Linked DNA regions of Cricetulus griseus. The main gene of each other region encodes a partner of the protein of the gene in region 2 in a complex. Links are inferred from orthologs where the notes say so. Each region holds a gene or a part of one and is shown on either strand. Other genes may lie near its edges.

What was found.
Region 1: the proteins of Izumo1 (region 2) and Izumo1r are in contact, whole or in part, in a crystal structure (PDB 5JKC), measured with the Homo sapiens proteins. The link is inferred for Cricetulus griseus from reciprocal best matches to the Homo sapiens genes IZUMO1 and IZUMO1R. Residues at the interface, in NP_872381.2 of Homo sapiens: Met75, Val77, Tyr134, Val141, Leu146, Trp148, Lys150, Asn151, Lys153, Glu155, Val156, His157, Ala158, Arg160, Lys161, Ser162, Tyr163, Asn239, Ser240, Ser241, Pro242, Ile245; in NP_001186135.1 of Homo sapiens: Lys42, Tyr44, Glu45, Ile48, Leu58, Trp62, His65, Leu66, Asp67, Gly80, Leu81, Leu82, Met83, Pro84, Gly85, Arg87, Ile91, Met145, Ser146, Tyr147, Gln171.

What each region holds. Positions count from the first base shown.
Region 1 is NC_048597.1:128,422,380-128,426,126, forward strand, and holds Izumo1r (sperm-egg fusion protein Juno), read right to left. Parts: upstream 2,775-3,747; coding exon 2,637-2,774; intron 2,023-2,636; coding exon 1,768-2,022; intron 1,146-1,767; coding exon 1,010-1,145; intron 874-1,009; coding exon 605-873; 3' UTR 390-604; downstream 1-389. UniProt on the Homo sapiens protein: Receptor for IZUMO1 present at the cell surface of oocytes (oolemma), which is essential for species-specific gamete recognition and fertilization.
Region 2 is NC_048599.1:154,523,712-154,527,458, reverse strand, and holds the start of Izumo1 (izumo sperm-egg fusion protein 1), read right to left. Parts: upstream 2,259-3,747; 5' UTR 2,199-2,258; coding exon 1,964-2,198; intron 1,609-1,963; exon of another isoform or gene 1,580-1,608; coding exon of another isoform or gene 1,528-1,579; coding exon 1,453-1,527; intron 708-1,452; coding exon 621-707; intron 173-620; coding exon 152-172; intron 1-151. UniProt on the Homo sapiens protein: Essential sperm cell-surface protein required for fertilization by acting as a ligand for IZUMO1R/JUNO receptor on egg.

The DNA of each region.
Region 1 (3,747 bases), on a different chromosome or scaffold from region 2:
CTAGGATAACCTGGGATGTGAGTCTTTTTGAAGAAACGGGGCAGGGGGAGGGAGGAAAGGTATGAGCACACACATGTGCACGTGCACACGTGCACACACATACACACACAGTGTGAGACAGCCACATTCCAAATGGCCAATTAATATTGAAAATTCTCATCCTCATTAGTAGTCAATGAAATTAAAATCTTAATGAGGACAAATCAGCTCCCTCTTTATATGTCTTAGGTTGGTACCCATAGGACTAGAACAGAGCGGCACATGGAGAGGAGAGTTTCCCTATCATTTTATTGAAGGTACCATGATAGGGCAGGTATCTTGGCTCTCAACATTGTCTCTGTTACACAAAAAAGATGGGTATCACATGATAACAAGTGCCTGGAGTCCTATAGTAATGCCCATTCCTAATGGCAGGAATAACAAGTCACCTTAGACTGCTAGGTACCAGTTGGGTACCAGGCTAGTGGAGGCAGGGTCAAGCAGTAGAGGGGACCCTGGGTGGCATGGGAAGTTCTGGCACCAGCCTGCTCCCACCCTGAATAGCCTGAGGATGGAAATGGCCATGGCTCAGAAGAATCAGGGAATGTGGGTGGGAGAGGGACCCTCAGGAATGGAGCAGCAGATACAGAGAGAAGGATGTAAGGGTGTAAGAAAGCTTCCAGGCTGAGGCAGAGTTGGCAAAGTGGAGGGCCACTTCCACATTGGGGTTGCCCTGAGTGGGCTCAAACCACTTCTGTAGACACCGTCCACTATTCCTGTGTTCAGGGCTGGCCTTGAATGTGTTGCTCCAAATCTTCTCACACAGATCACTGGGGGTGGGGAAGTAATCTGGGAAAGGGCGGCAGGGCGCCTGTGCTGGGCAGTGGTTCTTCTCTGTGGGGGTCGACGATGGTGTCCTCATTTCCCATTGTCCCATCCCTTCCATGCCCCCATCATTGTGGGGGGACATAAGAAGGTTTGTGTCCTCACCCAGGTAAACAGCCCCCGAGAACCCAGTCAGTGCACTCACCTTGACTGGAGTGGAAGCTGCTATGCCAGTTGGATTTGCAAGTGTAGGATGAGCGGCAATCTTCCCACCATTCCTCACAATCCTCCAGGCACAGGGGCACGCCCTGAACCTGCTCTTCCTGCCTGTTTGGGACCACCTGGGTGCAGATGAGAGAGAGGAAGATACCCAATCCTTTATAAAGGTCCCTGAGTACTATTCTTTCTGTGTGTGTGCACGTGTGTACATTCTGTAAGTGAATGTGCGTGTGTAGGCTGGAGGACAACCTCAAGTGTTGTTATTCAGGCACCATCCATGTTGGTTTAGAGAGAGTTTCTCACTGGCCCAGAGCTCACTGAGCAGGGTAGGCTGGCTGGCTAGCAAGCCCCAGGAATCCATCTGTCTCTGCTCCCTAGGGCTGAGATTATAACAGTTCACCTCCATACCTCGGGTGCTCATGCTTGTGTGGCAAGTGCTTAATGACTGAGCCATTTCCCAGCCGTAGGTTGTTGTTGTTGTTATTATTATTATTATTATTACTATTAGATAAATGAGAACTATGAAGTGAGTGGCTATTTGTCCCGGGCTACACAGTTTGTAAGTAGGAGATGGAATTCACTCAGATGCACCTCATTCCACCCTTCATCCTGCCGCCCGCATCAGACAGTGTCCCCATGCTGTCCTTCAGGGACAGAGGCAGCTAGCTCCCTCTTCATCCTTTCCCAGGGCTCTGGCTCTGCTCTTATCCCTAGAGGGACAGCCATCTCCCTATTCCTGCTGGCCTCCTGGAGATGCCAGCCTTTGATTAATGGAAGGCTGTTGCAGGGATTTGCCTCCTGTCTCCTCACCAGCTGGATCCAAGGCCCCAGGTTAGGGGAACACTCGTGAAGGCAGACGGCCTGGATGAAGTGCTTATGACAGACCGGGGTCAGCAGTCCACAGTGCAACATGCTGAAGTTAAAGAACAGGAGCTCATCCAGGTGGGCTTCCCAGCTCGTGGTGAATGTGCAGCAGGCATTGTCCTTCCAGGGGACGCACTGAAGGTGGAGGGAGAAAGAGGCTAGGGTTGAGGATCTTGGGCAGAAGGGTGTCAGAAGAGAGGACACATTGAGCACCTCTGTAGAGGAGGGACCTTGGTGTCTGTCAACATGTATCTGAAGAATGGGAAACACCTGACCCCTGGTCCCCTCCCCTTTGTCTTTCTGCCACAGAACATAGTTTCCTGATGTCAGCTCCAGGGAGGCAATAAATCCAGGAAAGCAAATAGAAAGAAGTCCCAGGGAGCTTCAGGAGTCCGAGGTTATGATGATGGGTAGGAGCAACTTAGAGTTGAAATGTTCCTCCTCCCATAGCTCTGTAATTGCCTTTAGCAGACTGAGAAGGAATCAAATTGAGTCCTATGTCTAGCCAGTGCATGTTGTCAGGAAGGCTTGCACTGACCCATGATTAGCCAACAGGGCCTCCGAGATCACCACATAGCCTGTTTCCCAGGTGGCCAGATCAGCTAAGGGGCCAAATCCTGGATGAAGAAACCCAAACTAAGGAACTAAATGATCAGGGCTGATGGGGTCCAGGGGCCTCCTTGCCTGTATCCTTCTCTAATAATTCTAAGAAGCTACCTTAGCCCCTGGGCCAGCTCTGGTCCCTGTACCTCCAAGAAGAGCTTGTCTTCTGGGCCAGGCTCTCGCTTGTGGTGCTTGGCATTCATGCAGATGTTGACTGGCTTGTCTCCTGTCACAGTGGACATGACTGTCCACAATCCCAAGAGTATCTGCCACCACTGTGCCATGACCTGCTTCAGAGAAGATCCTGTGATAGAAGACACCCACCTTAATCCCTGCACACATCAGGCACTAAAGATGGAGTCGGGGCTCCAAGGCTCCCTCAGGTTGCTGGAACACTTTGGCTGCTCTAGAACCTTCTGTGTAGAGCAGCATCAGAGAGTGTCAAGGCAGGTAGACACCCCACTACCAGCCGTTGCAGAGATGCAGAAACCAAACCAAGCAACAAGAGGAGAGAAAAGAAAACAACAGCTCTGAAGAGGAGGGCAGGTAGGGAATGGTACCAAGTCCTTCTACACTTAGACACAGCTTTGCTAACTCAGTAATGCATAGTCTAGGAGTTTAGAGCTTTGGTCCCAGCCCACAGCCAGCCTCTTGACCAAGTAACCAATTCTCAGAAAGCAGATTCTCCTTGTGGCCAAAGGACATGGTGGGGTGGGGTGGCCAATCAAGCCTTAGCCATCGAGTACCAACCTTCTTTCTAGTCCCCAGGAGGGTCCACACCAGGCCCACAGCTCCTCAGAGTAGCTTGTCCCCACCCTGTCTGTCCAACTAAAGTCATTTCCTTAGAGTAGTATCCCACTTCAACCAGCCCCAGTTTATCTCAAAGCCACCCTAAGCATCAGGATGGGCCCCCTGATGGCCTCTCAGAGCTGGGGACCCTTCAGGAATGAGGTTTTGAGGTGCCTTATCCTCTAAGCCCTCACCCTAGCACAGGTACATGAAAGCTGGCCTGTACCTTGGTGTCTGTTACATTGCAATTCCAGTTCTCTTCTGGGTTGTACTGGCAATGTATGAGGTGGGGGTAGGGAGTGGACAGAGAGATCCCCCTCTGCCAAAGCAAAGGGGCACCCTGCTTTAGGAATTCACCATTCAGTCTTTACCACCCAGGGCCTCACAGATCCTCTGTCCCCTAGGCCTAGTGGAAACCTGCCTTAGAGATAGGCAGTCTAGCCTGAGTTGAGCACCTCAGACATCCTA
Region 2 (3,747 bases):
GTGCAACTAGAGTAAACCCCCACTACCTAAGAAAGATGGATATCGAGTACTGGAGGGCCAGGGATAGCGCAAATGGAGGAGAGTAACAATCACCAATCCTGGGGGGAGGCTTGTGGGGGCAAGAGAAACAGATTATGCATACTGGACTCACCACATTGGTTGGGACAAAAAACTGCCTCCGAAGGGGGAAAGGGGGGAGGGAAAGAGAAAGAAAATCACATTTGTTTTTGTTTTCAGAAAGGAGTCTGGTATAACCCAGGCTGGTCTCAAACTTTACATCAATGAGGATGACCTTGGACATTTCATCTCTTGCTACTACCCATCAAGTCCTGTGATTAAACGTTCTATCAGTCAGCATCTCAGCACGTAGCCCAAGGTTGCCACAAATCTGGCAATCCACCCATCTCAGCCTCCCAAGTGCTGGCATTACAGGTTTTGCTACCAAGCTCTAGAGGATATTTCCTTCTAAATTAATGGGAGTGGATGCGGAGCAGAGATCTGAGATTTAGGAGCTTTTAGACACATAGGCAAAGGACCTGGAGAAGGTGTTCTTGAGGACATGGATGGAAGAGAGGGTTAAGGAAGCTGATGGCTGGGCCCTGGACTTTCATCTTCCTCACCTTCTTTTTGGAACCGCGTAGCAAGGGTGGCAAAGATGTCCTTTTGCAGACGGAGCATCCAGAATAATTCCTTTACAAAGAGCTCTCCTAGGAAGAAGCAGAGCCAGGAATGGTGCTCCCCAAACTCACTGTGAGGTGCAGTAAAGCATCCCATATGTCACAGATTCTACTCCAAGTGGCCTCAGATTCACCATGTAGCTGAGAGCGACCTTGAACATCTGATCTTTCTGTCTCCACCTTCAAGCATGCACCGGCATACCCAACATCTGCCTCTTAGTTATCTCTCCTCTCCGAGTCTCACCATGTATTCCCCACTGTCCTAGAACTTGCTGTGTAGACCATGCTGGCCTCAAACTCAGATCTAACAGCCTCTGCCTCCCCAGTGCTGGGATTAAAGGTGTGTGCCGCCACCACCAGCTCCACCACTCTTTCTTATTTGCTTGGCAGGATGGCACTACGTTGCCCAAGCTATTCTGGAACTCTGGGTTTAAGCAATCCTCCTGCTTCAGCCTCTTGAGTAGCTTTAAGTACAGGGATGCCCCACGTGTCTTCACTGGCATTCCACACTCTAGCCCTTCAGGGGAAAACTATAAGACTAAGCACTGAACACAGAGCTGGGCCATAGGGCTACGAAACAGATCCTCACAGTCACGGAGAAAGGGAGACGATTGTGGTCTCCATATTAGGGCTGAGGAAGCTGCCCAGCCTTAGGCTCAAGGCCACATGGCTAGGAAATGGCAGAACCAGAAAGGCTCTCAAGCAGAGGCTTGAAGCTTTAAGAAACCAGCCACGGTTCCTCAGAGGTTCTGCCCTCATCCTGTGGTACATTTACCTTTTACATCACTGTCCGTGATACGTTTCAGATCCTTCAGAAAACTCCAAGATGCCTGTTCCAGTGTGTCCTCATCTGTGTGTGGAGGGCAGATACAGAACCCCAGAGTCCAGCTTTTCTGTCGCATTGGCTTGTCACCACATAGAAACTACAATACCCATGAGGCCATTGGGCAAAGAGAGGCCTGGTGTAAGAGGTAACCGCTCATTGCCTTATGGGAGTTGTAGTTTTACCACACAACTTGCTAGAACCAATATTGTGAGCTATAAGGAGGGAACTCCATGATTCTGTATCCCAAGACTTTTCCATTCCTTTTTTCTTCTTCTTCCTTTTCGAGACAGGGTCTCACTATGTAGACCAGGCTGGCCTCAAACTCACAGAGATGCACTACGCAAGAGCATGGACCACTAAGGCCCAGCGACATTTCCATTCTTAAACTCAGTAGCACTTCTGGCCCCAGCCCTTCCTCTCCCAGGACCCTGAGGTCTTCATCCTGGCCTGCCCTCCTTACCCACGGCCCCCACATAGGTATCCTTATTCAAAGGCAGATCCTTGAAGTCCTTCACCGCCTGCTCTACCCTCTTCATTACGTTTTGATGATGCTCGGGTGCCAGGTGGCCAGGCAGGTAACTCTGCTCCAAAGTCTTTAGCGCAGCCACTACAAACGGGTCACATATGATGCAGGGCCTCGCCAGACACAGGCAGTCGGCCAGAGCGGCCAACAAGAGTGTAAAACGCGGCCCCATGGAGGCCAGAGCGCACAGCTCGCCAGCACCGCCAGAGGATCCTCTCACCCCAAAACGAGGGCGGGGGGACGCTAAACAGAAGCCAAAAAACAGTCTTAGAGCACTCCAAAGCTCAACACGAAGGTCTCTGGGAAATTTCCAAGTAAAAAGGAGGTATCATTAATTAAAGACGCAGAATGTGAATTCGGACCCCCTACCCCAGCCCAGGAGACTTCAAAATTTATGGTCTTCGTTGCATTCCTGCAACTATTAAACCATCCCCAAGCTCTCTGCATTCAAACTTCAAACGCATGGGCTCACCCCCCAACTCCCCCAAACTCATATAATTCATAACTCTGAACCTGGGTCAACATTCAGATGCTCAAGTCCTGAAAACCCCGTGGCACAGCAAACTAGATAGTCAATAGTCAAAACTAGATAAACCATCAAAAGCCGGGGCATTGGCACCGAGGAAGTCAAGACCACCGTGGTCTATTTGAGACACTGTCTCCAAACCAATTAATTAATTAAATAAGTAAATAATTTGTCTAATAAATAGCCAACTTGCAAACTATCAAACTAAAAAGGTCTTCAGAATAAAAAATATCCTAAATCCTTTAACCTGAAGGTCCTACAAAAACTTCAACATGCCTCCAAAGCCATCCCCCGGTTTCTGGAGTACCTGTCCACTCTCCCTAACTTTCAGGACACTCTCCTCTCAGGCCCCCAATACCTCTTTAACAGCCGCTCTTCAACTTCGTGCCCTCAAGCACTAATGCTTCGCCCAGATACTTTCTCACGACTAAGATTAAGTTTTCCTTGGAAGACTGGGGAGAAGAATTTAGGGTTTTTCTACTGGCTCCGAGAGTAACCGGTCGCCCCCTCTTCACAAAACACTTGGGCCACATCCCACATGGGGGACCCTAATTCCTAATTCCCTTAGAAATATTTCTTAGGACTGTCTTTGGCCCCGCCCAGAATCCAACTCTAAGCTTGATTGGACTGCAACAAAGCAGGCCCCGCCCGTCCCTCCGTGACGTCACAGGGTGGCATCCCTTTCGTAGAACTTTCCCAGCACCTACGGAATGGAAGTCGCTAACCTGTTCTGTTCATTGCCCCCCCGCGCCCCCAAGTTTCGGCCGGACGCCCTCTGGCTGGCTAGAAACCTTGGCATCAGATAAGAAGATGCGGTAAGTGGCTACTCTTAAATGGGACTACAACTCCCAGAAGGCACTGGAGCTTCGCTCTTTCCCTATGACCAGTCCCACAGCATGGGAAAGGTAGCTAAACAGTGATACTCTTCTCTTATGAGGAGAGGCCTGGATCCAAGCATGGTACCCACACGTGTAGTCCTGGCGCTTGAGAGGCTGAAGCGGGAAGAAAGCCACGAATTCCCAGCCAGCCTGGTCTACATAGTGCTTTCTAGGCCAGCCTGGGCTACAGAGACTGTCTCAAAATAAAACAAAACACAAGATAGGTCTGGTGGCCAATACCGAAGTTTCCAGAGACAGGTACTAAGGGAAAATGGACCACAAACCTAGCAGCAAGGGTTGCCAGATCTGAGTATGTA